Lytechinus pictus: one gene and its partners. The protein of the gene in region 1 binds, or shares a complex with, the protein of each later gene. Links are inferred from orthologs where the notes say so. Each region holds a gene or a part of one and is shown in the gene's direction. Other genes may lie near its edges. The genes, in order: UDP-N-acetylglucosamine--peptide N-acetylglucosaminyltransferase 110 kDa subunit-like, KAT8 regulatory NSL complex subunit 3-like, TGF-beta-activated kinase 1 and MAP3K7-binding protein 1-like and KAT8 regulatory NSL complex subunit 1-like.

What was found.
Region 2: UDP-N-acetylglucosamine--peptide N-acetylglucosaminyltransferase 110 kDa subunit-like (region 1) and KAT8 regulatory NSL complex subunit 3-like share a complex: the UniProt entries of both Homo sapiens proteins name them as parts of the NSL complex. The link is inferred for Lytechinus pictus from reciprocal best matches to the Homo sapiens genes OGT and KANSL3.
Region 3: the proteins of UDP-N-acetylglucosamine--peptide N-acetylglucosaminyltransferase 110 kDa subunit-like (region 1) and TGF-beta-activated kinase 1 and MAP3K7-binding protein 1-like are in contact, whole or in part, in a crystal structure (PDB 4AY6), measured with the Homo sapiens proteins. The link is inferred for Lytechinus pictus from reciprocal best matches to the Homo sapiens genes OGT and TAB1. Residues at the interface, in NP_858058.1 of Homo sapiens: Asp441, His506, His508, His509, Asn567, His568, Pro569, Gly641, Tyr642, Thr643, Lys644, Ala646, Gln849, Phe878, Pro904, Val905, Ala906, Pro907; in NP_006107.1 of Homo sapiens: Pro389, Val390, Val392, Pro393, Tyr394, Ser396, Ala397, Gln398, Ser399.
Region 4: UDP-N-acetylglucosamine--peptide N-acetylglucosaminyltransferase 110 kDa subunit-like (region 1) and KAT8 regulatory NSL complex subunit 1-like share a complex: the UniProt entries of both Homo sapiens proteins name them as parts of the NSL complex. The link is inferred for Lytechinus pictus from reciprocal best matches to the Homo sapiens genes OGT and KANSL1.

The regions. Positions count from the first base shown.
Region 1 is NC_087249.1:53,721,077-53,728,417, reverse strand, and holds the start of UDP-N-acetylglucosamine--peptide N-acetylglucosaminyltransferase 110 kDa subunit-like, read left to right. Parts: upstream 1-4,260; 5' UTR 4,261-4,325; coding exon 4,326-4,411; intron 4,412-4,584; coding exon 4,585-4,828; intron 4,829-5,274; coding exon 5,275-5,343; intron 5,344-7,341. UniProt on the Homo sapiens protein: Catalyzes the transfer of a single N-acetylglucosamine from UDP-GlcNAc to a serine or threonine residue in cytoplasmic and nuclear proteins resulting in their modification with a beta-linked N-acetylglucosamine (O-GlcNAc).
Region 2 is NC_087256.1:18,280,203-18,287,421, forward strand, and holds the start of KAT8 regulatory NSL complex subunit 3-like, read left to right. Parts: upstream 1-4,111; 5' UTR 4,112-4,506; intron 4,507-7,219. UniProt on the Homo sapiens protein: Non-catalytic component of the NSL histone acetyltransferase complex, a multiprotein complex that mediates histone H4 acetylation at 'Lys-5'- and 'Lys-8' (H4K5ac and H4K8ac) at transcription start sites and promotes transcription initiation.
Region 3 is NC_087254.1:11,941,584-11,949,055, forward strand, and holds the start of TGF-beta-activated kinase 1 and MAP3K7-binding protein 1-like, read left to right. Parts: upstream 1-4,468; 5' UTR 4,469-4,652; coding exon 4,653-4,709; intron 4,710-7,039; coding exon 7,040-7,176; intron 7,177-7,472. UniProt on the Homo sapiens protein: Key adapter protein that plays an essential role in JNK and NF-kappa-B activation and proinflammatory cytokines production in response to stimulation with TLRs and cytokines.
Region 4 is NC_087247.1:49,525,484-49,533,241, forward strand, and holds the start of KAT8 regulatory NSL complex subunit 1-like, read left to right. Parts: upstream 1-4,681; 5' UTR 4,682-5,592; coding exon 5,593-7,256; intron 7,257-7,677; coding exon 7,678-7,758. UniProt on the Homo sapiens protein: Non-catalytic component of the NSL histone acetyltransferase complex, a multiprotein complex that mediates histone H4 acetylation at 'Lys-5'- and 'Lys-8' (H4K5ac and H4K8ac) at transcription start sites and promotes transcription initiation.

The DNA.
Region 1 (7,341 bases):
TCAAAACATACCGTATCATCGTCTTCTTGTTATTTTCTTCTTCCTCCATCTTTGTCGAAGATTCAAAACAAATTATCACCAATTATCATCATCTTTTTGTTCTTCCCCGATTATGTCGGAGATCAAAACAAATCATCTTCTCCTCCACCTCCGTTTCCGCTGATATCGGAGATAAAAAAAAAATCATAATTTTCTTCTCCTTTATCTTCTTTTCCTTCCACCGCTTTTGTCCGAGATCAAAACAAATCACCAGCGCATTTTAAAGGCAAACATGTCGCCACGTTTTTTTTTTTTTTTGTCTTGTTATGTTTTAGTTTTTCCGATCCGATTTTTTCCCCACTTGTCCAAAATCGGAGTTCGGAAAAATGTAGAAAAAAGGGGAAAATCGGATCGGATCGGGAATTGGAATAAAAATCGGTTACAACATTGAAATTAAATATCTTACTCTACACCGGCACACCCGTACGGTATGTCACTCCATGTCCATCTTCCGGTTATCCTCAAAATTGGTGATTTTGGGCCAGTATCAAATTCTTCATTCGTATTATTCACGGCCGATTTCAAAACATTGTATGCGTGTATGGAATGGACCTTCCTAATATAATAGCAACACTGATGTGTGTTGCTGCCCTCTACGTTCGTTGCATACAATGTTTTGAAATAATACGTGTGAGGAATTTGATACTGGCCCAAAATCACCAATTTTGAGAATAATCGGAGGATGGACACGGAGTGAAATACGGGTGTAGAGTAAGATATTAAGCTATTTATCTTTCTCGTTATATTTTTTTCTGTAATCTTTGTCTCGCCTGCATAGCAGAGCGAGACTATAGGCGCCGCTTTTACGACGGCGGCGGCGTCAACATCAAATCTTAACCTAAGGTTTAGTTTTTGAAATGACATCATAACTTAGAAAGTATATGGACCTAGTTCATGAAACTTGTACATAAGGTTAATCAAGTATTACTGAACATCCTGCCTGAGTTTCAGGTCACATGACCAAGGTCAAAGGTCATTTAGGGTCAATGAACTTGGACCATGTTGGGAAAATTATTTTCAAAATCTTAACCGAAGGTTAAGTTTTTGAAATGACATCATAACTTAGGAAGTATATGGACCTAGTTCATGAAACTTGGGCATAAGGTTAATCAAGTATTAGTGAACATCCTGCCTGAGTTTCAGGTCACATGACCAAGGTCAAAGGTCATTTAAGGTCAATGAACTTTGGCCAAGTTGGGGGTATTTGTTGAATTACCATCATAACTTTGAAAATTTATGGATCTAGTCCATGAAACTTGGACATAAGGTTAATCAAGGAGTAGTGAACATCCTGCCTGAGTTTCAGGTCACATGACCAAGGTCAAAGGTCATTTAGGGTCAATGAACTTTGGCCAAGTTGGGGGTATTTGTTGAATTACCATCATAACTTTGAAAATTTATGGATCTAGTTCATGAAACTTGGACATTAGGTTAATCAAGTACCACTGAATATCCTGTGCGAGTTTCAGGTCACATGACCATGGTCAATGGTCATTTAAGGTCAATGAACTTTGGCCGTGTTGGGGGTATTTGTTAAATTACCATCCTTACTCTGAATGTTTATGGATCTAGTTCATAAAACTTGGACATAAGAGTAATCAAGTATCACTGAACATCCCCTGTGAGTTTCAGGTCACAAAACCAAGTCAAAGGTCAGTTAAGGTCAATAAACTTAGGCCATGTTGGGGTAATTGTTGAAGTGCCATCATAACTTTGAAAGTTTATGGATAGAGTGAATGAAATGTTGACATTGGTGTAGTTGACAGTCTTAAGTCTCCGTTCAAATGTCATTTATGGTCAATGAATGTGGTATTATGTCATATGAATTATGTTTTTGTGAATGATTATTTTATAGTAGTTTTCAAAGTTAGCACTGCTGCTAAATTAAATTGCGTAATGCAGGCGAGACTGCCAGAGGCGTTCCACTTGTTACAATAAACCATCATTTTATCCCACCTTTGTCACTCGGTACATGTATATCCGAAATGGTTCACAGTCCGGAAGTTCGGGTAGGTGGAGCGTAGTGTAGCAGTAGTGAAGTGGTGTGGAGCCTGCACGAACTTTGCCCGAGGTAGCGGCCGTCATGACGTGAGCATCCTCGATTAATCCTAAATTTTGCTTTATGATGGGTATAAGAGAAGACATAATAAAGATAAATTTATATTAAAGACATTCAGCTTACCACCTTTCCAAAAAATATGCCAGAATATAGTGAATCTTCATGACAAACAGATTAGGATCGGCCAGGTTCTTCTTCGATCGTTGTCGGCACAGTACAACTGAGCGTACGAACGTGCCAGCCAATCTGCTGGTGCGTCCGTTCGTCAGCTGTCGCTGATGGCGATCAAAGAAAAACCTGGCTAATACCGATCTGTTTGTCATCAAAATTCGCTATTTTCCAGCATATTTTTCTGAAAGGGGTAAGCTGATTGTATTTAAATTAATCTTTATTTGGGTCTATTTCTTCCATTTTCCCTGTCAAAAAGCGAAATTAAGGAGTAATAGAGGAGGGTGCAAAAAGCGCACCCTTTCTCCATATATGCTGTAGTTAAAGCTAAATGAAAGTAGTTGCATTTAAACACTGAATTCGTGAGAAAGTCTGTAAAACCACTTGAGGTCAAGTATTACTATATCATCTTGGATCTAGATCTGGTACATGTACAGTACTTTGTGAAATCATAAAATCTAAGCTGAAAATCGATCACACTGATGATCGCCAACACACGGGGAACAGTGTATATTATTATTGCTGGAATAAAGACCCGACGGAAGTGCCAGAATCTGCGCTTATTTTGCTTTTCTCAGCAATTACATAATTTCTTCCAGAATCATTTGGCACATGTATTTTTTATTCATACAGACACTTGGTGGTCATTATATTGGATTCTTTAAAAAGTCATTTTGAGATCATTACCACAACTGGCATTTACATGTATCTTTAAGCGGCGGTTGTTTACGAGCCCAATGGCATCATTCGTCATGTGTAGGAGGAGGCCAAAAATTCAGAAAATGTTAAAAAGCTCCTCCGAAACAGCGGAGTTCCATTTTTTTCCCGGAAGTCAATGTTACGAAAATGTTACGAATGAAAATTGCGACACTACTTTCCCTACAGGTAAAAGATCTAGCCCTAAATCATGTAAGTGGGCTAGAACTTCATTTCCGGTATCTATAGAATATCGATTTCATTTTTAAAGTAATATTCATTAAAAGACGAAATATATTTTGAGAAGACGGGTAAAAAAAATTTGAAGATGTTTATTTGGCATTATAAAGGGCAGCAGACTCTATGTGTGCCTTGAATATTTACATAGATCTTTAGTACTTTAATTGGTCCCAGTTTGTCTACGTCCTATATACATGTACAAATTGTTGTGTGACAACTTTAATTTCATTTAATTTATTTCACATAAAAAACCATACATAATATAACAGAAAATCACAAAATTACAAAAGAAAGAAGAAACTGTTCCATGTACATATAAGAGATAAACATAAACAAAACTGAAATACAATTGTAAATGATGTGACCGGGGCTAGAAAAAGCATAGCTTATCGAGTCTAGCCCCGGCAGAAAAGGAGAAGGAAGGAGATGCCCACCCCGGGAGCACGTATGGTCAGAGGCAGAAGAGGGTTGGGACAGAAGTGGGTCAGGGATTCCCGATCGGACACAAGCCATGACTAAGGACGCGGTGACCGGCCACACAGCTGGCCGCCCCGCCGACACGGCAAGAGAGTCCATCTTATGAACACCTGCACCAACACCCATGCATCCATATAAATCACTCTCACACACTACAAAATCCTCACATGCATCTACACCAGACAGACATACACCCCCCCCCCTCAATTCCCCTACAAACAACCAACCAGCCACTAATAACGTAGCATTACCTCCATGCTCACACAGAACTCTCAAATACATTTTTAAGACAAAAGACTCGCTCAGTAACATAGGGAGAGAAAGAAAGAAATTCACGAATGTGAGGTTTTTCTTAAAAGATTAAAATACTGAAGATATCATACAAAAATCAGTATTCTGTGCAATCATCCCATAGGTGGCCATTTTGCCAATCCAGTTGATCAACAAAACCCTTGCACAACTACAACAAAGGACATTGTGTAGCAAGTTCACAATTTCAGAGTTGAAGAAAATATTGACAATGAAATGCTAGGAAAATTTCTCTTATGATCCTACATTTTTTTTACTTGCAATCGATACAGGTCTTGCTGAGCTTGCTCACAGAGAATACCAAGCTGGAGATTATGAAAATGCAGAGAAACATTGTATGCAGTTATGGAGACAAGAGCCAGAAAACACTGGAGTTTTACTTCTACTAAGCTCAATACACTTCCAGTGTAGGAGATTAGACAGGCAAGTATATTGTAAATGGTTTTTTAGAATAGAGGAAGGTGATCAAGCTGATTAATTATATGCCTGCACAGTATGTTAAGATGAGCAAAGTCTTGGCTGTTTTTCAAGTTGAAACATGAGAAGGAGGTCAGTGATTAATCCTCTTACTTTTTCCCCTTTGTCTTTTTGTATAGGTCAGCACACTTCAGTACTCTAGCAATAAAACAAAATCCGATGTTAGCGGAAGCGTACTCAAATCTGGGGAATGTCTTTAAAGAGAAGGGTCAACTTCAAGAAGCTCTTGAAAACTACAGACATGCTGTGAGACTAAAACCGGACTTCATTGATGGTTACATTAACCTTGCTGCAGCTCTAGTTGCAGCAGCAGATATGGAAGGAGCCGTCCAGGCATATGTCACAGCTCTGCAGTATAACCCGGTAAAGAAATGTCTTCATCTATTTGCATGCCTTGTTAAGTATTTATCTTGTTCAGATGATCTTCCACCATTGGTTGCATTGTACTATATTTGGCAGGTTTCGCGTGATGGATGTACAGTGTGTCCTTTCATTGATTTTGAATAGCATTTTGAATAGCAAATTTGAAAAGCATTTTTGGTTTTAAGAGTAAATCTCTTAACTAAGTACAGTCATATTTAAAAATATGCTATATAAAAGACTTTATGCATAGCAGTCTTTCACAAATGTGGAGCAAATTGCATGGCCATATGGTCTGAGCACTTTATAGTCTCATCAAATTTATACTGTAAAAATAATGTTTTATAGCAATTCAACGTTTTGGTGGACTGTTGAAGATTGTGAAATATTTTTGTAATATGGGTGGTATAATTTTTATTCTATTTTTCTAATTTCTACTTGTTTCACAGGACCTGTACTGTGTTCGTAGTGATCTAGGGAACCTCCTGAAAGCACTTGGTAGATTGGACGAAGCGAAGGTAAGGTATCCACACAGGTATGCAATGCCTGTTGTAAGGTTTGTTTGCCAAACAAGATTTGACCTTGCCTTATAATGCAACCACAGAATGCTGTAAAATAAAAAAATAACAAGAATTCAATTAAATTTTTTTTCTCTTTAAACAAAATTTCTCAGAATGCTTGCAGTAGTATTTTGCTTTCACCTTAAGAATATTCTCACAGAGTAGATTAATTCCTTAATCTTGAAGAGGGCATTTTTATTCATTAATATGTAGATGTAACAAGTAAGACTATTTCTTAACCGATTCGCTTGTGAAAAACATGTTCATTCATCCATTCACAATTGCATGTCATCTCATGGGGTATGGCAGGTCAGATGATTATTTTGATGTTAAGTTTCCGTAGACTAAAGACAGGATGTGAAAGTGGCTGGAGATTGAAGACTCGGTTCCTTCTCTTTTGGATCCCCACAAAGCATTGGTAGCCAGTTGACAGGTTGACAGTGGCTCATGTCATGCTGCTGTAAGTTGCCGCTGCTGCAAAGCGCTGCCATGAAGCCCATCATCGTGTCATCGTGGGGGAGCCGTTTCCAGTGTGGTTTGTGCAAATCTTCATCTTGGCTTCTGCGCTGCAACTGCTGCTAGTGTTACTGCTTAGTGCAATGCTGGCTTGCATCTGCCTGCTTGCTTGCCGGCTGCTTGCTTGCTGGCCGCATGCGTGCTGGCTGCAGCGCTGTGTGGGCGCTAAGGCGCAGCGTGGATCAGCTTGAATTGGAAGCAGAGCTACAGTCATCTCAACCAAGCTGGTCCATCTTTGCAAAATTTTATTTCCTTAGTGCCTGAGTATTTTTATGAAACATGAAATTTTAATTCTTATTCAATATTGATTGACGTGAGAAATGAAAGAATTTTGAAATGATGGTAAACATCCATTAAAATGATATATGGATTAACTTCCTTGAAGGGAGGAATCATTTGTGCAAACATTTTAAAGAACATCTTAATGGTGAATTAGCTGTAAAAGTTGGGTTGTATACATAACCAACATAAGACTCACTGCCCTAATGAGATGGAATTGCGTAGATATTAGATAACAGCTGCTGCTGCTATGCAATCAACAGATTTCAACAGATGGACATCATTCAGCTTGCTTGCCAATATGAGCAAACAGAATTTGATAAAAGAATATACCAGGCATCAATCAATTAGTGTTCTACAAACATTTTAGGGAGTGGGCTGGACTGAATTGAAGAAAACTTAACGTACAGATGTTATGTGTGTAATCATGCCCTTGTATTCTATTATTACATTCAGTTTGCTCATATGCACTGTAGTGCAGTAATTTTCTGCTAGTGCGAGCTATTGTGTCAATGTCAACGTGTTAAATTTGTTAACAATGCTACCAAAACATTTCCCCATAAGACAAGCCATGAAATGGCTCTGAAAATTGATCCTTGCATTATTGATGCAGTTTAATTTTAATGCATTCATCATTGTGTTGAGAATTGGCTCTTTCCTTTTATCTTCTAGTTTAATCAATGCTTGTATGTCATTTTTCTTCATATTTGCGCAGATACTAATTCAAGATTTTTTTCTTTTTCTTCTCTCATTCTTTTTATATATTCATTCATGCACTTCTGAAGGTTAGATTTTCAGCAGAAAGGGTCATCTGTGTGCCATAGGTTGATTCAAGTTGTTCTTTTTGCCCTCCTGGATGCCACTTCAAGGAACCCAAGTGTAGCTGTGGATGTCATTAACGCCTGGAATACTGGTTCATGACTTGGTAGTTACTTCACAGTTAGCCAAGCAGTAAGACATGTGATGTGGCTGGAGGAAATATGTTATTAATCTGAAAAACAAATGAGAAAATATGTAAAATAAAAATATTAAAACATTAAGAAAAAAATATATAACTGGAGGTTGAAACATCATAAGCCAGTATTTAAAGACGTCTGGAGGTAAAAAATAGTTTTTTGTACTAAACATTTCTGTCACACACAAGCTCACTTGCAAGCAGCA
Region 2 (7,219 bases), on another chromosome or scaffold:
CCTTTGGCGGCCATTTTAAATATCAAAATACATGATTTATCACATAAATGGCATGTTGAATAATAAATTTCGTTAACAATAATGTTTTTAGTCAGTATTCCGCTCGTTTATCTTAACAAAATGCATTTTAGTGCTCACTCTCGTGATTTTTTTGTCACCATTCACATTGTACATAATAGTGTTAGGGCTTTTGGAGGCCATTTTGAATATCAAAATACAGGATTTATCACATACATGACATAACAAATGTTATATATCGTTAGCAATCCTATTTTCAGACATTTCTTCACTCATAGATCATTATTACTTGCATTCCAGTGCTCACTTTTGTGAAAAATAATTTTCCCCATTCATATTGTACAGGGGTCTATGGCGGCCATTTTGAATATGAAGAAAATAAATATTTTGTCCAAAATCATTTTTTCAGATATTATTTCACTCCGGCAGCACAATTGCATGTACTTTATAGCCAATGTGTGGACAATTTTATGATTTTCAGGGCACACGAGAGTAATTCATCTGCGCGCAAAGCATGCCGGACAGGCGTAAGTAAAGATCACATGACTTTATTGATTAAAATAATTCATTAAAAATAGATCAAATGTTTGTCTATCAAAAGAAAAACAATAGAGATAATGCTATGTTCATACTCTTTCATAATTAAGGCGTTTGGGGAGGCTAGACTGCATTTTTGTATTTCATTTTAATTATTATTACCCACAATGCAGTTCTGGTTTTTCTGGCAATGAACTGGCCGAAATTATATTAGTCTTATTTCAGGCCATTTAACTTTTGATTGAGCTGGGCAAGTACCTGATTAACATATCAAGTCTTAATGTACTGTTAATTGTGACTAATGTCAGTGAATTAAAGCAAAATCTATCGAGGGATTGATTTTTAATGATTTTTTGATGAGCTATGATATAACACGTGAGTGAATGGGGGTCTGTAATACTCATGTGTGCCCTATATCGCGACTACACTTCTACACAGTCGTTGCTATGGCTGGGCGTCGTCTGCTAGAAATCGGTGGTGAGAAAGCTTCAAGAAGTTTTATGCAAAGTGATAGGTTATGTTTAACAACAGTTGATAAGTATGTAACTCGGCATTTAGTGCATTTATCGCTTACGATGCTGAAATGACGCTTTCAAATGTATATTCAATGCTTTTTATCATTTATTATGCAGAAATGCGAGTTTCTACTGCCAATAGGAGATCTGGTTGGTTTGAGAGTGTGAAATGAAATAAGTAGGAATTTCAAAATGATAAATAACTTCTAATTATCATCAGGATTCCTATTTTCAATATTTAGAGCGCGCAGAGAAAGAAAGATGAACAAAACATTAAAATACATAAACTTGTCTCAGTCAGATGTTATACATCATAGATTGCGCAATTGAATACTATTCACTTCGTTGAAAGCTACAGGCGGGGGGTTGGGGGTGGAACTGAGTCGGGGTACATACCCCCATCCTCCTGGCTTGTAAGCAGGGCGGGGTTGATCCCTATAGCACCCCCCCCCCCATTCTTCCTCCAAATTAACGGTTATAATGAGGAAGAGAGGCGAAATGAGCAAAAGAAATGCTTACATTCTTTGTTTGTTATCAATTTTCTTTTATTTACTTTGTTTATTTTTATGCGAATACAAAGGTAATAAATCGCCTCGAACAAAATTAAACATGTAAACAAGAAGTTGTAAATCCACACAATACATATTTAGCCCATTGATGGACATCGAGCAAGTAGAACTTGTAGCTGTAATACCATAGGAAGCTCACAAAATATATGAATGGAACACTGCATTTTTACATTAAAATGAGGGGTGTCTAATGAGACGTTTTCTTTTTTTTAATACGTTTAGTCAGATTAGGTATTGAATGCAAGGTATCAATCTCTTCAGGAGAACCCACTCTTTCTTTTGAGACCAAAATTTTCAACTTTTTGTCATTTGACCCTCAGTATAGGGCACACGAGAGTAATTCATCTGCGCGCAAAGCATGCCGGACAGGCGTAAGTAAAGATCACATGACTTTATTGATTAAAATAATTCATTAAAAATAGATCAAATGTTTGTCTATCAAAAGAAAAACAATAGAGATAATGCTATGTTCATACTCTTTCATAATTAAGGCGTTTGGGGAGGCTAGACTGCATTTTTGTATTTCATTTTAATTATTATTACCCACAATGCAGTTCTGGTTTTTCTGGCAATGAACTGGCCGAAATTATATTAGTCTTATTTCAGGCCATTTAACTTTTGATTGAGCTGGGCAAGTACCTGATTAACATATCAAGTCTTAATGTACTGTTAATTGTGACTAATGTCAGTGAATTAAAGCAAAATCTATCGAGGGATTGATTTTTAATGATTTTTTGATGAGCTATGATATAACACGTGAGTGAATGGGGGTCTGTAATACTCATGTGTGCCCTATATCGCGACTACACTTCTACACAGTCGTTGCTATGGCTGGGCGTCGTCTGCTAGAAATCGGTGGTGAGAAAGCTTCAAGAAGTTTTATGCAAAGTGATAGGTTATGTTTAACAACAGTTGATAAGTATGTAACTCGGCATTTAGTGCATTTATCGCTTACGATGCTGAAATGACGCTTTCAAATGTATATTCAATGCTTTTTATCATTTATTATGCAGAAATGCGAGTTTCTACTGCCAATAGGAGATCTGGTTGGTTTGAGAGTGTGAAATGAAATAAGTAGGAATTTCAAAATGATAAATAACTTCTAATTATCATCAGGATTCCTATTTTCAATATTTAGAGCGCGCAGAGAAAGAAAGATGAACAAAACATTAAAATACATAAACTTGTCTCAGTCAGATGTTATACATCATAGATTGCGCAATTGAATACTATTCACTTCGTTGAAAGCTACAGGCGGGGGGTTGGGGGTGGAACTGAGTCGGGGTACATACCCCCATCCTCCTGGCTTGTAAGCAGGGCGGGGTTGATCCCTATAGCACCCCCCCCCCATTCTTCCTCCAAATTAACGGTTATAATGAGGAAGAGAGGCGAAATGAGCAAAAGAAATGCTTACATTCTTTGTTTGTTATCAATTTTCTTTTATTTACTTTGTTTATTTTTATGCGAATACAAAGGTAATAAATCGCCTCGAACAAAATTAAACATGTAAACAAGAAGTTGTAAATCCACACAATACATATTTAGCCCATTGATGGACATCGAGCAAGTAGAACTTGTAGCTGTAATACCATAGGAAGCTCACAAAATATATGAATGGAACACTGCATTTTTACATTAAAATGAGGGGTGTCTAATGAGACGTTTTCTTTTTTTAATACGTTTAGTCAGATTAGGTATTGAATGCAAGGTATCAATCTCTTCAGGAGAACCCACTCTTTCTTTTGAGACCAAAATTTTCAACTTTTTGTCATTTGACCCTCAGTATAGGGCACACGAGAGTAATTCATCTGCGCGCAAAGCATGCCGGACAGGCGTAAGTAAAGATCACATGACTTTATTGATTAAAATAATTCATTAAAAATAGATCAAATGTTTGTCTATCAAAAGAAAAACAATAGAGATAATGCTATGTTCATACTCTTTCATAATTAAGGCGTTTGCTTTGGGGAGGCTAGACTGCATTTTTGTATTTCATTTTAATTATTATTACCCACAATGCAGTTCTGGTTTTTCTGGCAATGAACTGGCCGAAAATATATTAGTCTTATTTCAGGCCATTTAACTTTTGATTGAGCTGGGCAAGTACCTGATTAACATATCAAGTCTTAATGTACTGTTAATTGTGACTAATGTCAGTGAATTAAAGCAAAATCTATCGAGGGATTGATTTTTAATGATTTTTTGATGAGCTATGATATAACACGTGAGTGAATGGGGGTCTGTAATACTCATGTGTGCCCTTCATGGGTAACTAATACTAATATGAATATTTTGGCGGCCATATTGGATTTTGCCAATTTGCAGAAAACGCTCAAGGTTACACGAGTGGCATCATTCAGATTCGGAATCAGCACCCTCGAATTGACAAGAAACCATTAAAAAACATTGTATATCTTAAAAAACAAGGTTCGACCCCTTCTATCCTGGACTATACCGTGGTCATGGTGTTAGCGCATCCACGATCCTGTGGCTGTGCGAAGCCGCCTCTCCACTCCAGTGCCAGCTCCGGCGGCGACGGGAGTCTTTACCCCGACGTCCGACCGTGTTTGGAAAACCCGATATGCTTACACTGAATGGCGGTCCACATAAAAAGATGACTTCTTCTAAACTAACTTCTTCCATAAAGGATCTACAGCTGCATGCAATTCGTGATCATTCGAATCTGTAGCCTAGGCTAGGATAGTCGAGTTCATTCGACCAGGCTCAGTCACGTCAAGGAACAATTTCATCAATTTAAACTCGTACGTAGTACACTGTACTGTTAATTTTACAATTATACAGCGCGCGCTTGAATGACGTCATCTTGCCGGTGCTTCGTTTCTTGTCCGTTTTTGTCATAAATTTAGGTAAGATTTGCCCCATTCATTAACGTTTTAACGATTTTGAAACAGACATGAGTGAAATTTAGTTGATTTTATTCGAGTTAGAGGTGATTTTTGTGTAAGGCTGTATTATTAACCAAAGTGCAGTGCAGTTTTGTCTTGTCACCGTCTGCACTGTGTCACGTTTGTTGTTGAGTCAGTCCCATTCACTCTTGTTCATGTTGGATCCTGTGGATGGAGGGGGGGGGGGGGGTCGGGTGTCCGGACGCTTTGAACTTTTGAAACCTAATTTTTGTCTTTGGATTGCACAAAAAATATGAAGTTGATTGATGTAACTTTTTTTCAGTTTTGTTTGCTGAGACTTTGAGGAAACTTTGCTTGTTTTTTTTTTTTTTGGGGGGGGGGTAAACATTTCTGTTTTTCAATTCAATTTTCAAATCATCAAATGGCAGTCGCGCGTCAAGACGCCAACATTCATGACATTGGCAACTGAACAGGCGCAGGCAAGATTATCCTGTAAATAAATAGGGTCTGTCTAGTGTCTAAACTTACGTCATGTAAAAGTTTGAGGTCCATGAAGGCATGATAATCCATTTAGACCTACGGCTACAGAGCAGAGACCATCTTGTCTCTCGATTAGATCTCACACTTCACAGTGGCAAATTGTCCATAGTCATAGACTGTGTACAACGGATAGACCGTCTCGGCTCAGCGAATCGGAGTCCCGCTGATTGGCCAATCGCGCAGATCACGTCATGACTATGTGGTCGCCAAAATAATTCCTTCGGACTGCATGCGAAAGTATCGATATCGATAACGATATCCGGTCACATTGTCTACGCGGGAAATGGTCTTGGTTCGTGATCAGATCGCTCCAGTATCGATCGAAAATTATCGAGACTGCAATTTCATGCATATTCACGCGACGCTCCGAAACCTGGAATCAATTGACTTTGTACACGTTGCGATAGACTCTACCAAGGAGTTACCTGCACTCCTTGACTCTACAAACTCCAACGAACACGATGCCATATCGACGCTAATTCGTACGATTTTAACCGAAAAGCAAGAAGTAATCGAAATTCGCTTACCTGTGCGGTATCGGTGAGAAAATAGATCCTCCGAGAATACCTTTCATAATTATAGGAATGTGAAATTCTAGGTCGATTTTGGTACGAGGTGATAGAGAATTGCACACTTGTTTTGCCTTTTGGTGGAATACTGTGTGGGGCTATGGAAGGCTTGCACTGCGCATGCTTACTGTATTTTCATTCATAAATTGGCTTTCGGCAGTGGCTGGATGACGTCATGTAATAAGCAAAATATACACGCCCGCTAGCGTTGAACGCACCGCTATCCGTTCTATACAATTTGCCACTGTGGATCTATCCCCGAAAAAAGTCACCATCTTGAAAATATCAATTATCATTCTCAAATTTCAAGAGATCTGAGCTGACTTCCGTAAATTCTGTTGCAGTTTCTATTTTCTCTCTCACATCAGATTCAGACATCATTCACTAAAATTAATTGTCGCCACAATTTTTTGTCTCACCTGCATAGCAGAGTGAGACTATAGGCGCCGCTTTTCCGACGGCGGCAGCGGCGGCGGCGGTGGCGTCAACACCAAATCTTAACCTGAGGTTAAGTTTTTGAAATGACAGCATAACTTAGAAAGTATATGGACCTAGTTCATGAAACTTGGCCATAAGGTTAATCAAGTATTACTGAACATCCTGCCTGAGTTTCATGTCACATGACCAAGGTCAAAGGTCATTTAGGGTCAATGAACTTAGACCATGTTGGGGGAATCAACATCAAAATCTTAACCTAAGGTTAAGTTTTTGAAATGTCATCATAACTTAGAAAATATATGGACCTAGTTCATGAAACTTATACATAAGGTTAATCAAGTATCAATGAACATCCTGCTTGAGTTTCAGGTCACATGACCAAGGTCAAAGGTCATTTAGGGTCAATGAACTTTGACCAAGTTGGGGGTATTTGTTGAATTACCATCACAACTTTGAAAATTTATGGATCTAGTTTATGAAACTTGGACATTAGGTTAATCAAGTACCACTGAATATCCTGTGCGAGTTTCAGGTCACATGACCATGGTCAATGGTCATTTAAGGTAAATGAACTTTGGCCGTGTTGGGGGTATTTGTTAAATTACCATCCTAACTCTGAAAGTTTATGGATCTAGTTCATAAAACTTGGACATAAGAGTAATCAAGTATCACTGAACATCCTGTACGAGTTTCAGGTCACATGACCATGGTCAAAGGTCATTAAAGGTCAATGAACTTTGGCCGTGTTGGGGGTATTTGTTGAATTACCATCCTAACTCTGAAAGTTTATGGATCTAGTTCATAAAACTTGGGATATAAGAGTAATCAAGCATCACTGAACATCCCCTGTGAGTTTCAGGTCACAAAACCAAGTCAAAGGTCAGTTAAGGTCAATAAACTTAGGCCATGTTGGGGTAATTGTTGAAGTGCCATCATAACTTTGAAAGTTTATGGATAGAGTGTATGAAATGTGGACATGGGTGTAGTTGACAGTCTTAAGTCTCCGTTCGAATGTCATTTATGGTCAATGAACGTGGTATTATGTCATTATATGAATGATGTTTTTGTAAATGATTATTTTATAGTAGTTTTCAAAGTTAGCACTGCTGCTATATTAAATTGCGTAATGCAGGCGAGACTGCCAGAGGCGTTCCACTTGTTTGTTT
Region 3 (7,472 bases), on another chromosome or scaffold:
TGCCCCCCATACCAGCTGCGTACGGCCATGATCTTAAAACAAAAGAAAAATGACTTATCTACCCCCACTCAGATGACTCATGAAACCTTAATATTTTCTCATGAAGAACATATATCTATGAGAAGGGAAAGGGGCACAGTACAGTCCTAATTCTCAGGTGAAAGGGGCACAGAACACTTTCGTGGGGCACTTTTCTTATAGGTAAAAAGGGGGCACTGATATGAGAAAGGGCACCTATAAGAAGGCAAAGGGGCATTAACTCTTGCTAACGGCATAAAACGGGTCCTTCTCAGGTGAAAGGGGCACATGATGTGTTCGTGAGGAGCACTTTTCTTGGGTAAAAAGGGGCACTGATTCGAGAAAGGGCACTTACAAGAAAGCAAGGGAGCACTTGCTCAGACATAAAACGAGTCCTTCTAAGGTGAAAGGGGCGGACACAGAACACGTTCGTGAAGGGATTTTTTTTTTTTTGGGGGGGGGGAATTTGGCATTGATACGAGATATGGCACTTGCTAACACATAAAACGGGTCCTTCTCAGGCGAAACGGACACAGAACACGTTCGTGAGGGGGGGGGGGCATTTTTCTTGCATAAAAGGGCACTTTTTCAGTGCTTCTAAAAATGTGCCCCCACCCCCTGGATCGCCGCCCCTGGTCGCAGCTCATCGTTATTGGATCAAACCAACTTGTCAAACCCCCTCTTATAGCAAAAAGCTAGATCCGCCACTGATATCTTCTTTCTTTCTGTCACCTCAAGTGCAGGGGCCCGTTTCTCAACACCGTCATAAGTCTAACTTCTTGACTAAATCGGAGATAGTGAGCTACTTGTCCGCTAACCGTTTCACGAAGCCCTCTTTACCAAGATCGGGTACAACAACCTCACTAAATATTTATGACACCTCCGAACCTGTCATAACTTCTTTCTTAATGACGTATGGCATCACGTGGGTAGACTATGACATGCGAAAGTGCCTAGATATTTTAAAATTATAATCTTACGTAATCAATCATAGAGGTTGAAATTACATCACAAAACAAGTGTGTTAATGCATTCAATGATAATTGTAATACAAAGAAACTATAAAAACTGTTGGTAAACGCCACAGAACCATTCATTTTGAAATAGTAAAATGATTTAATCGATAAAGATTCTACCACGTCAGGCCATCCATAACTGAACTCGTATTTGCTGTTTTCAGACCCCTATAAACAGTTGGATAAATTCTATCTCTAATTTATGCATATAATTTGTCCAATATCGTATCTTTCGGTATCAATGATTAAAAATATTTCGTTAAACTATATTTTGATGACGTTTGGAATCGTAAAAGTCCGTATAATTATCATCATTTTACAGAGAAAACCGTTATGGTTTACTTTCGTAAACTATTAAAATTGGGTATCCCGGGGGTACCCATCTCAACGTCCACAAGTGATTTTTTAGTCATGAAATGAAGTATTCATAATTTAATTTTCTCTGCAATTGAATGCTCCAGTCTTCATGGTCTAAGTATGTATGATGCATAATTCACCTGTGCTATTATTTTGAAAAGATTTATTTCCCAATTCATCATAATATTTGCAACTTTGTCATAATTATTATTTTGGAAAATTATGCTCTGTTGTGACTAAGGCTACGTCTCGTCTGCTCTTTTTACCGATAGTATATCGATATCAAGGTATTCTAGTTAGGAAGCCTTTCGAGAAACAGGTTTAGTAAGATTGGAACTAACTCCGTGGTTGGTGGATAAAGATATGACTAACTTGTCCATGTGTTGAGAAACGGGCCCCAGTTTTCTTGTTTATTTTAGTATTCATTTTTTTTTTTGGGGGGGGCTCTTGTTTTGAAGTGGTTTTTTTTCCTGTCTTGTCCTGCTTGGTACATTTTCTTTGATCTTATTTAATCTTTAGTGTTTCCGTCCTATCTTATCCAACTGATTTCCTTTATATGCACTTTCCTAAACTAAAGTTTGTCTTTATACTTTCATACACCCGGGCCAGTTATGACATGGTGTACATAGTACAGACATAAACAGTTTGACCCCATTTGTTTTTTTTTCTTACTTTGTTGAACCTTGTTAATTACGATTTGAATTTCATCAAAGATAAGTTATAATTTAATTAGTTATTTATTGCAGGGAACTCACATAAACAAACTGTCCAGTGGGTTCATTTTTTTTTCAATTATGCTACACTCAACCAAGGTGAGGTAAATAGGTACCTGGTAGAAATATTTCTTGAAAATCACGGAGCCTTGAAAATAAAGAGGTAGGCACTTCATAAGCAAGTATTATTATTCTATATTTTGCTTTACAATGTAAATTTTGTTGAAGTCGAAATGAATATAAACACTATCAACCAGTGGCGTACAGATGCCGGGGCATGGAGGCGCTGCCCCCCCCCCCTCCAAAAAAAAAATCACAAAATCATTATGCGCCACTACTATATTCAGACTACCTGTGGGTCTATATATTCATTTATTTCTCTCTTTTTTTTCTCTCTCTCTCTCTCATTCGGTCACTGTACATTTGTCACAATATGAGAGATGGACATAGAATAGATATAGTATTTGAGATCATACAGATATGCATGAATTCTTCTCTGGGAAGCAAATTTCCCTGTGCAGTTATAACAAATATTCAAAGTTTGTCCATCCTTGTAAAATTGGAATATAACCTCACTTAATGATCAAGAATTTGCTATTTGCCAATCAGTATATATATATATAGATGAGCGAAAAAAAACCCACAAGTAGTGTGGGTCAGTCATGGCGTATAATTATGAGGCAATAATTCTAAAGAGTATATGCCTGTTTAATACCAAGACATATTTTTTGATAGATTTTTACATTCCGAAAAATCACAAAATAAAGTCAGCTCACGCTTCGTGTTCGTATAATGTATTTAGAAAGATACCCATACTTTTCACGAAAGTGTAATATCCCTTTTTAAAGTTCCCTTTCGGGTCAATATGTATTTGTTAAAAAAAAAAAAATTAAAAATGAGTCCGCGCTTCCCACATGCATTGAGTGTTTATACAGATACACACCTTATACATTCTTTATCTAAAAACATCTTTTAAAAGCGCTTCGTGTTCGTATAGTTCATTTAGAAAGATACCCATTCTTTTCATAATTACAAAAAGTGTAATGTCCTATATGGCCTTGGGAAGCGGGGGTACTTCATGTATTCTGTAAGATGTGCATAAGTGGGAAAATGTAACCAAATGATCTTCATTTTTGTAGCGAAAACTTTTTTTAACAATTTTTTTAACGATATTTGATTGTTATATCACGGACGTCGTCTTTACCTTCAGTTACTTACATTGGATTTATAGTACCACCCACCTCCCACACCTCACTCAAATCGGACTCTAAACAATTGTTGGAGCAAAAAGTACATTCTTTGTTTTTTATACCCTCACAAATTTGACTATAAACACGTTTAGCTTTCCTAGCAAAATATGTATAAATTTTTCAGTGTTTTTGAGACACTTCGTTACGTAGGCCTACGCAACGTGCCCAAATGAGATCCTGTTTACGCGTTTCTTTGGTCGTATCTGGTATCCACTTGTCAATGGAAGTGCCCCCCGGATTTCTCTTTTTCTTTCTTGATTGAATTTTTTTTTTTTTGCTATGATAAAGGCATACTAATACAGGTGGTTTTTGTATGTTTATCCCTTCCCCACTTTTAAGTCGCAAGTAATCAAACATTGCAATACTTTGGGGTTGTTTTCTTCCATAAACTTGCCATATTTCAGCATGGACCCTACTAAATTTTGAGTAAATGAAATTTACTATTAAAAAGCAAGTCCTAAATATCATACATACCCTTTAAAATAATGCAGAAATGAGAAGGGTAGGCCTATGTTATCTATCTTTATGCGTGATAATAGAGAACATGAATGTGTTATGAAATTTGATTTAGTGATTCTTAAATACGGGTAGAACGATGCGATTTTCCCCTATTCTTTTTAATTGCTTAACAATCATAAAAGATAATTTTGACTATAAATTTATATTAGAGGTTTCTTTTTTGGAAACAGACACTTGCACTTCCCTGACTCTACTTGCATCAGCTTTCGACCCATCACTATCTCTTGCCGTCAACTACTTAACTATAACCATATAAAATTATTTTAGAATATGTAATTCAAATACTTTTGTATTGTAAAAGGGATTGTAAATTTTGCGTGAACCATGTATACCTGATTTAAAATAACTCCCTCATGTTGACATGTTTTCACCATATCTTTTTTCTTGTTCTGTGTATATACATTGTATCTTCATGTGTTTTAAAACCAGTGAAAAAAGAATTTCCTTAATGGACAATAAAGTTATTCAATTCAATTCAATTCAGTTCGATTCAGTTCAATCCTCAATTCAATTTTCTAAGGGCCGAAAATTCCTTTCACGATGCTCCTCAGAGATAGATCTGTGGGACTTCCCCCCTTTTTTACAGCGCGGCCGCCACTCGAACGTAGAGGGCTTTAACATAAACAAATTCCAGCAAGCTGTCGATGTCATCTGACCTGGTATTCTTCGCCATTTAAAGAATTTTCTGGACATATTTTACTGAATTGTGACGTTACCATCAATGACTATCATTGATCGTGTATCAAACTTTGTTTACGTTTTGATTATGCCCTAAAAATATGACATCAAGAACACCAAGGCGCACCACTCCTTCGATTGTAAGTCAACACTCACAGGTAAATATACATGTGGGACTGAACTGAAACGTCTTTAGTTTTTTTTTTTGAGGGGGGGGGGGGCGGGGGGGGGGGTGAGACATTAACTTAAATCAAAGTGCAAGGCATAAACCTTGTTCATTGAATGAGCGGTGCAAGGGGAAGATTGGATAGTACATAGAAATGAAACGCTTGGGAAGAGCCACTCAAGGGTTCATTACACGCCGCAGCGCACAGAAAAATCAAGCCATAGTATGGCATAGAAATTAGAAGTAGGGTGTCTGAAGCCACACTGAAAAGTGTCAGCATAAAACAGGCTAATTTAGGGGGAAATATGGCACATTTTTTCGGGGAAGTTCAGGCTACTAGAAAAATGTGATCTGAATTGATTATTAACTTGTGTTTGGCATGTATGGAAAGAGAAAATTCAGGGGCTTCTTTTGACAGTAAGGACAAGTTTATATGATCATTTTAAATAAGGATTTAGAGATAAATTGCAAACCCTTATTTTTGTGTGTGTTGAGATTGCCATTTCTCCATGCGTTTTCTATGGGAAAATGACATTTCTGTTTTGCACAATTTTTTTCACTTTGTCGCAATTTTTCATTGTGATCTGGTTTCGAAATCTTTATAAAAATCATACCATCAGATAGAGCATAAAAAATCCTATTGGACTCTTTATGGACAAGTTTTTGGCATTAATAATAAATTTATAACAGCTCTCGGAAGCTAAAAATTTGGATTTGTGTGTGTCCATTTCTTAACTACACAGTCTATGGCAGAGAAATGCTGAAAATTTACCTAATTTCATTCTTCTTTTTTGCAGCCAATAATTGGATTTTTTTCAAAAATGTTACATTTCTGTCAGTCTGAAGGTCATTTCTCTTCAAATTCACAAAGAAAATGTGATATTTTCTTGAAATAAAAAAAATATTTTTTTTCTCCAGACACCCTATTAGAAGTCGTGTGTTGTGGACCCAAGAAGTGAGATCCCAGCACGCGCGATCCACTAGTTAGAAATCCACTGCCAAACGCGGTTCGTGGTGCGATGTTAGTATACTAATACTAACCTCGCAATACGTGTGAGTGGGGAAGAGCGCCCCACCATGCCCACAGCAGCGTTGTGTACTGTAGTGTAACTGTAACTGTAAGTAACAAACTTTTTTCACCTTCGCGTATCGCAATATGACAAGTCAAAAAACATAATGAGAGAATTGGTGAAGGAATAGACGATTTTTACATATTTTTATTCAATTTTTTTCTGAAATGAAAGATGAATAGACTATATTTCAGAGGTTTCTGGGTAATAAAGGGTGGAATCCCCTCTCATTTTCCCTATATGATGTAATCTCCATGCACCAAAATACATGTTTTCTAAAGTTTAGGGTTTTGAGCCCAAACTTATGTAAATGGGCTACAATACTGTTTGTAAGCTTTTGGCACTAAAGAGTCTTTACAATAAAAAGATTGGACACTTCGCATAACGCTTTGCATCGATATAAACGTAAAATAGTTTTCGTGCCTAGTTTCTCACTTGTAGTAGTGTCTTTAATATGAAGATAAATCGTGCACCTCTTTAGACGAAAATTCTCAACAATTACATTGTTTTTTCAGAATCCTTTGGCATATATCTTTATTTATGCAAACAGACTTTTCATAGGTGGTCATTTTATTGAATTCTGTAAGAACTCAAATTGAAATTGTTACCATGACTGGCATTTATCTTTCAAGGGAAAGTTCATCCTGACAAATAGTTTGTAGTAGAAATGGCAGAAAAATGAGAAAAAATATTGGTGAAGGTTTGAGGAAAATCCATTAAAGATTAAGAAAGTTATTAGAATTTTAAGTTTTGGATTCGTGACATAAACGAGCAGCTACCCCATTATGTTATGTAATATAAAATACAGAAATTTATATTTTTTAATGGTTTCTGGTGACTTATTTATTTTTCTTTTTAGTAGCGGGTGTGAAATGATTTGTCTATTGATATACTGAAGGTACAATAAGAATAATTTTTCATTTTCTGATAAAATGACAATTCATTGATTTTTCACCATACGATATGTAGGAAAGCTGCTCTCATATGACATCACATATCAAATATTTAAACTTATAATAACTTTTAATTCTTTGTTGGATTTTCCTCAAACCTTCACCAATATTTTAATGATTTTTTCTGCTATTTTAGAAAAATCATTTTGTCAGGGTGAACTTCCCTTTTAAATGGAAATTATCTGAAATGAGAGTGCCAGAAATATACTCTGTGCCATCAATTCCTAAGACTAATCTCGTCGTCATCCCATAGAATGAACTTCAACCCAGTCCCTCATATCTCTTGTCATGTTTCACAGGGCTCATTACAGAGCTGGACCGATGACTTGCCTGTCTGCCGTCACTCAGGGATTGGATACTCAAACAACCAGGTCTACCGACAAGATGGAGCCAGAAGCGAAGATCATGAATTTGAAGACAAATTCTTTCATTTCAGGTGCATATATATAAATTTGCATCCAATCCAGAGGGTGTTGCAAGAAAATGTGTGCAATCAATTGCAAAGTTCAGATGCAATTTTACAAGCAGTAGATCGATGTTAAATTAAAAGCAAAATAATTTATATTTGTTGATGCACGAAGCAGACCATCAATTAATTCAAAATTTGCAATGAAATGCATGACTTTCAATTTATTGTATGACCTCAAATCTTGTAAACCCATCAGTCTATTAGTATTAGCAGATGGTCTGATTCTTAGATTGTCTAACACCACCAAACTTAGTCTAGTCTCC
Region 4 (7,758 bases), on another chromosome or scaffold:
CACATATGGTGTAACTGATATTGTAATCCGCTAGGTGTGACGGGAAAAAAACTTAAGACTATATAGTAGGAAAAAAAAACAAAAAAAACCTGTATATGTGAAAAAGAGGAAGCAAATTGCCTAAAAAGGTAAAAGCAAATATAGAAGAGAGGGGGTGTATTATGAAGAAACCATAGTATACATTTAAATAAGCAAATGTGGTAAATCTAAAAGAGGCGAGTGGAGAAAAAAACAAATATATATATATATATATATAATAATTATTATATCGCCTGAATAAGGAAGGAAAAATTGGAGCTGAGCTTGTATGAGATATGGGAGGAAAGTAGAGTAAGAAACTATAATGTAACTATTCAAAAGAGCTGAGGGGAAAAATTATATGTATATATAAATTGATAGTGGATAGGAAAGAAAAATCAGTCGTTCCCCTCTTGGATGTTCAGGCCATGAGGTTGGGTGGTGCGAAGTCGTCTCATCCAGAGCTTCTCCCTGCTAGTACGGACTGAGTCAGGACGGGTACCTAAAGATTCGATGCCCTGTAGCATCATGTCAGTGATGGAGTGGTTGGGGAGGTTAAAATGGCGGCCAACTGGAGTGTCCAGCTTTGCTGTGTTGACGGTGGATCTGTGCCCGTAGAATCGTTTCTTGATTGTGGTCTTGGTTTCCCCTATGTATTGTACCCTACAAACTCGATCTGCAAGTGATGAGATATACAACATTAGTGGTAGTGCATGTGATGTTGCCCTTGATTTTGTGAGACAGGCTGGTAGAGTTGCTGGTGAAAGTATCGCCCTCGTGAAGGTGTATTTCACATATGATGCACCTGTTGCTGGTGCATTTGAAGGTGCCATGCTGTATGGTAGAAGAATGGTTAGTGAGGCAGGGCACTTCAGCACGAACAATGAGGTCCCTGAGATTCGGTGGGCGTCTGTATGCTAGAAGGGGAGTATCGGGAACGGCCTGTTGGAGACGATCAGAAGTGTGTAAAATGTGGTGGTTATTTGTTTTTAAGTCAATATGGTTTACTAGTAATATGGAACTCTATTTTTTTTAAAGAAATAATTAAGATTTACGCTCCCCCAACTAAGGGTATGGGGTGCGCTCCGTTTATTTCATATCCTTTTGAATATAACTTCATTTTGTTTGTATTCTTTATTCCGGTTTTTGAGGTAAAATAAGTGTAGAAGATACAAGAAATGAGAATTGAAAGTTAAAAGTGGTTGTAAGCATAAAAACCGTGAAAACTGACAAGAGTCCTAAAAATGACTCATTTTCAGGTCAGCATTTGAAAATTTCAACTTGCGCTTTGTGCTATCTTGCCCCCCCCCCCGGAAAATTCTCTGTAGGAAAAAAATGCCCCTTTTCAAAAATCGAAAATGCCTTATTTTCCAAATGAAATGTGCCATTTTTCAAAAAGAAATACCTTTTCTACATGAAAACATAATACATTTTAGGTTTGAAAATCACCAAATTTTGCATTGTGTTTGCATCAATAATAAGTACGGTACTTATCCTGTTCATGGTTACAAAAAATGTTTAGAATGTCTAGTTTTCAGATTGGAATATCACAAATTTTTGGCTCGCGTTCTGCACTCGCATCAGTTATTGTAAAGTAAGGTACTCAGTCTGTTCCCGTTTACAAAAAAAATGTTTAGAATGTCCAGTTTTCAGGTTGGAGTATCACAAATAATGCACTCGCATTATTTGATTGTAGAGTTATTATCCTATTTAGGAGTCACTAAAATGAATACATGTCCTTAACCATGTTAACAGCTTCCTTTTCTGCTCAGTATATTAAAAATTTCAGCTCGCGCTTCGCGCTTGCGTTAATTCTTTAGTTAGATACACATCTTTTTCATGATTACAAAAACAGCTCAGAATATTTAATTTTCATGTCTTATTACACGAAAATAATGTCCAAAAGTTTGAGCTCGTGGTTCGCACTGGCAACATCTCGCAAGGGTGCCCTTTTAACACGGAATAGTGCCATTATTGACCAAAACAATCGAGTTGCACAACTTCAGAATTGATTTTTTTTTCAAAACCGCTTGCTCGCTGCTCTTTCTCGTGGAAAAGTAAAAGCCTAAATCAAAATATCTATCTTATCAATTAGAAATCACTTTAAAAAGGCTTTACTCGACTTAATTTCTACAAATCACACAACTACTTCATGCAGTTGATAATCTCATTTTGAAAATATCTGTTTGCACCAAAAGGCCCATTTTGACAATTAAGTACCCCTTTTGGCTTTGACCCCCCAACAAAAATACGTTCTGCAGCCCCTGTCCCAGGGAGTGGAGAAAGACATACGTTGAGAATGGGCATGTCAGGATGCCATGGTAATAATAATTATTTTGATGTAAATCGCCTATAGAAATATAATGTATTAAATATACAAAGGTATATAACTATATTATCATTTATTATTAGGGCCTATGTCTAAATCTATCATGAAATTATTTTTGTTTTACATGTACATTTACAAGGGTCAAAGTTTTGCTCGCTCAGTTCACTCGTTCACACCTTTTATACATTTTCCCTGTGTGACATGTCTGCCGCCTAAGCATTAATTGTTAGCTCATTGTTCCATATTATCGAAAGTTTGAAATGCCTTGGCCTTGGGTTTCCATGCCTTGGCCTTGGGTATTGAAGCCTTGGCCTTGGGTATTAAAGTCTTGGCCTTGGCCCGGTTTGAGCCTTGACTACAACACTGGTCACGGATTTACGCCAATGCAATCGACACCCATTGCAATTAATGAACATGACTTAGTAGGCTGTATACTATCTCGACAAACTTCAATTTAGAAAAATGCTGAAAATCTATCAAAATCTGATAGAAAATAACGAAGATATCCGTTCGGTTATTTATATGCACATCGATCGTCATGAATATTCATAAGGTGGGCAAATGAACTGATGGGACTGATATTAATACATGAAATCATCATTATTTCATATTTTCATACCAGTGTGTATGACCATGTCTCCTAGTAGTAAAATAAGTAACAGCAACAGTGCACTAAATCAGTTGTCAATTCTTTTTTTAAGTTCCCCCGATTTTGGATGACAAAATTTTAATAAACATAACCGGAATATGACGTCATCAGTTGGCATGAAGACATGCATAGTGCACATGATCTTTAAAACAATAACTTTGTCATATACCTTGTCCGATTGCGATGAAATTTGCACGGTCATTTTGTTTAATTCTTATTCATCTGTTCAAATCATGTTTTGTCGGGATTACCCATTCATTGTGTAACTTATCTCTTTTTCCCAAGTAAAGAGATAAAACTAAACTTAGGCCTAAACTACACTGTACAGAATATAAGAGAATAACTTGAAAAAATGTAGGTTTTACTGTTCTAAATCAAATCAAATCAAGATTTACACTTAGGCCTATACCACTTTTGTATTTGGTATCAGTGCAAACAGCACCTAGGGGAAGGGAAGATGTACGATCTGCATAATTGGACTAAACTTCCCGAAGACAAAACAAGAAAGCGAAAAAACAGTTGGAAAAAAAAAACATTAGGCCTACTAGTACATATATAGACCTCTACTAAAAAAGAAACTTTCTGAGTAGGACCCTATGGCTTAATTGCGTGTTCACGGTGAAAGACGAACCTGCATGGGAAAGATTGTTCAGAATTAAAGTTTGTCTATAGCAACAACATAAAAAAGGGGGGAAATCACTTCATTGTCAATGAGGGTATACAAAACATATATGCTAGGGCTACAAAAAATATAATGCATGATACCGACCACATTTCAGAAAAATGTGTGGAGTCAGATCCACGGTTCGGCACCTCAGGGCTCAGCTGCAGAGCAATGTCGTGACTCGTGAGACAGAGTTTGCATTCCCCATGCGCGCAGTTTTCCGCTAATTTCCCGTTGTTGTAATGATGTCAACTGTACGGAAAAAAAAGACACCCACTAACAAAAAGACCAAAAAAAAAAAAATACAGGGTGGTATCATAGAGCTATTATGGTACTACGCATTGGCATAACATAAATTTATTCCTTAGATAATAAAATCATAAAAATGCTATATTCGAAAATTCCCTTGTTCCCAATTATACTGCCAGAAATAAGAGTACAAGATCGAGTGGGGAAACATCGAATTCTGATATAAAAATTCAAAGTTTCGGGACTATATTAAATTATGATCCCGGATAATGCGATCGAAACATGAAATGATTCCTCCCTTTTTAGCACTTAAGTCTTTCCACCGTATCTTCTATTAGTTAGGACTAAATCCCTATACTTCGTTCGAATCAATTTTAAGCATAGATTTTCTATCCTTGAATTGATATAATGCTTTATATCACATAATAATGCTTACTTTTCGTAATAAAACTGATTTTGTTCCGTGCTATTTTGCGAAAGTTTGACTTCATATCGATAGAGCGCGAACTTGATGGCTCTTTAATCTCGCATTTTCCCTCCCCGTATTTACGTCTTTATGCGAAATATTTTTTAAGATAAAATTTCATTAATTTGCACCTTTTCATGCATGAAGATGTATTGTTACATAAAAAAACGAATTGATGGAGTCAATTTAGGGGTGAAATACTATGCAAGAGCGAGGAAAAATAATTAATAATTATTTACTATAAGATTTTTACAGGGTATTTTTCCGACCAACCGAATAGCTCTAAACAGCCAATCACGCAATTCCGCCTATAGGGGGTAGACCAATTGACGTAGAGGCAGATGTTAATGAAGTCGCCTGCATTTTTTTGTTGTGAGAATGGAGATCAATGCCTGAGCACGTCGCCATATTATGCGATACTTTTTTCGACGTCGTAGGTTGGCCATGGAAGTCAATGATGAATAATGTGATGTGTGTGATTGTTGGATTCATTGATTACCCATGAGGAGTATACGTTAGGATGTTAAATTTTGACAAGAGCAAGGAAATATGTTGATCAATTCGGAAAATAATGGGTGTAACCCGCATGCATAGTCCGATCGCTTGTTTCACGAACGTGCGTGGAACCTGTCCAGGGGTCACGTGGTGTTGCTTCTCATTACCGTCCATGTTATGATTCTCAGTTTGCGAAACGTTCCGTTCAAACATTCGTCAGTGCAACGTTGTTTTCAATTTGACGTCTAAAACTGATCCTCTTGTCGGTCACTGAAGACGGAAAACGATACTCGTAAATATTGATGGAGACCACCTTCCCGGCCTAAGCGCGGGAAATAGCTATACGTACGTTGATCTGGTGTCTGTCACGTGTGGTAATCGTTCGGCCTGTGCCTGGCCTCTGTTATTGTTTCCATTATCGCCTGCCTCACCTGCGGCTTTTTTTGGATGGACCGATGTTTATGAAGAGAGCGGGTTGAACAAACACATATCTCTATACTATAGCATTATTTGTGTTTTGGTATTGCAACATTTGTGCTATTGTAAACATATGTTAATTGTTATCCTAGTATTTAAAATACAAAACAATTTTTTATCTCGTTGGACGGGTCGTCTTCGAAAGCTTTAATTAGTCATGTTCTCCAATCAATGGCAAGTGTGACGCCGTACAGTGGTGCCGTTCCCACGGTACCCTGTCCGCATAGCGCTTCGCTTCCCGTCGCATGTGGTCACAGTTCCCGCTGAGGCTATGTATGGCTGCAATGGCTCCGGCACTGACTGATGCCGCGGCTCATACAGGCTCCTTCAAGTTGCCAGCTTCGCCTGCTAACCCGGGAAGCAGTGGTGGCCTGCAAGCAAATCCAAATCAGCCAACAAGCCCAGACTTGCCCTCATTGGCAAATGGTCATTCTCCGGCAGTACCCGGTGGTGTAGGCAAGCATTATTCTCCAGGTTCGAGTCCCACCACTCTGTTGAGAAACCACGAGCCCACTGTATCGCCAACTTGTTTCACCATTCACACCCACTTTCTTGAGAATAATAATCACAAGGGTGGAGAAACACTGACAATTTCAGAGGGAAAAAATTATCAGGAATTGCAATCAAACCACTGTAACGGCCCGATAAAAAACAAGTTAAATTCATTAATTTCCACCATCGGCTCAGGCCTGGATCTAAACCTAGATCTACTCGCGAATGGTGAAAAACATTCAAAGAAAAGCATATTGAAAACGATGAACGACTCTGCCGCACCCTTGGCACAGAAAGAGGTAGACCTAGACCTGTTGAACGATAATCACCCTTCTACTCCACCAACATCCAAAATGCCGCCTCTAACAATATCAACTACTGGAAGTCCCAGTCCAACGGGTCCAAAACACTCTGTCGCTACTCACATTGAAAATATCAATATACGAGATAATGGTGATATCGATGAGCATGTGGAGCTCGATACTAGCGATACGTCAAGCAGTTCTCTATCGAATGACATGGATAGTTCATTAAGTCTGTCACACTCTAATGCACTGACAACAGATACAAGTCTTGAACAAGCCGTTGATGACTGTCTTGATCCGAAGTCAGACAATGAGAGCGACTCAGATGAAAGTAGTGTGGATCTTTCTGCCACTACTGCAGAAAAATGTAGTGGAGCAAGCAACATTGTTGAAAAGGAGAAATTCAAGTCCGTTAATGTTGTTGATAAGCTAGAAGTAGGAGGTGACAGGAAACCTAGATTTATGAAAGCAGAAGTGAAGCAGGTTGAAAAATCTGTATTCAAGGTTGTGAATGATAATGACCAGATGTCTGAGGGAAAGAAAGAAGCTATCATTTTGATTCATAAACAGTCGAAACAAGAACATCGTGCAAAGTATTTGATGGAAAAGTTACGGAGATTACAGACATGTCACGTTGGATCTCGGATATATCAACAAATAGGTTCCTTTGTAGAATCAAAACAATCCTGCAAAGAAGCTGCAAATTCTGCTGGAAGTAGCAACGTTACTTGTGAAGAGTGCCGGAGGAATCGTCTTCAGACGGGTAGTAGACCTGGCGTTCTTCCTAGAAGTAGTTCAAGTCATAGCCATACTTGTCCTCTACATACAAACTCTTCTTCAGACCGGCAAAGACATTCGATAAGACCATCATGGTTACCAGCAGGAAAAAGAACTAAGCCAAGTACACATATTTCTCAGCACTTGCGAGAAGGGAAACAAGCATATCGTGAAGTAAAATCTGTCACTGGAAGGCTTCGAGCAGGCCTTGGTCATGTTGAAAGCACCATAGATTCAGACGTCACCGATAGCAGCTCAGGTGGAGAAAGTTGTGATGAAGGAGATGACAGCTTACCACAAACCCAGGCATCCCGTTCATTTCACAAGATGCCTCTGTGAGTACATATTTCAAAGAGCTAAGGAGATTGTAAAATTTTGGCTCTTGGAATTATAGGGCATGCGATATTGTAGGCGTACACGTATTGTGAGTATGGTCACATGAATGAAAAGATGAGAACTCCCATTGAATTTGGAAACAATTTTATGGACATCTACAGGTACACTTTAAGTAAAATATTCGCAGCATTGGTAAACCAGATTATTATCAACTGTTATTCAAATTCCCCCTAGTTGGAACAAATTTTTATGGTCCCAAAACTCCCAATAGATTCAAATAGGCATAGCTGCCTCATTTGCCTGTGTTTTTATCTTGTCCAAAAGAACAAATGTTGGAAAGATTTTAGTTTTATAGCGTTGAATAATTTCAAATTCATTGATGTTGCTTTCTCCCCCCCCCCTTTCCTTTCTTATTCACAGTCACAGAAGAGCATCATGGAAATGGGCTATAGATAGGTCAGCTATTGCAACCAGATGGACTTGGCTTCAAGCCCAGGTTTC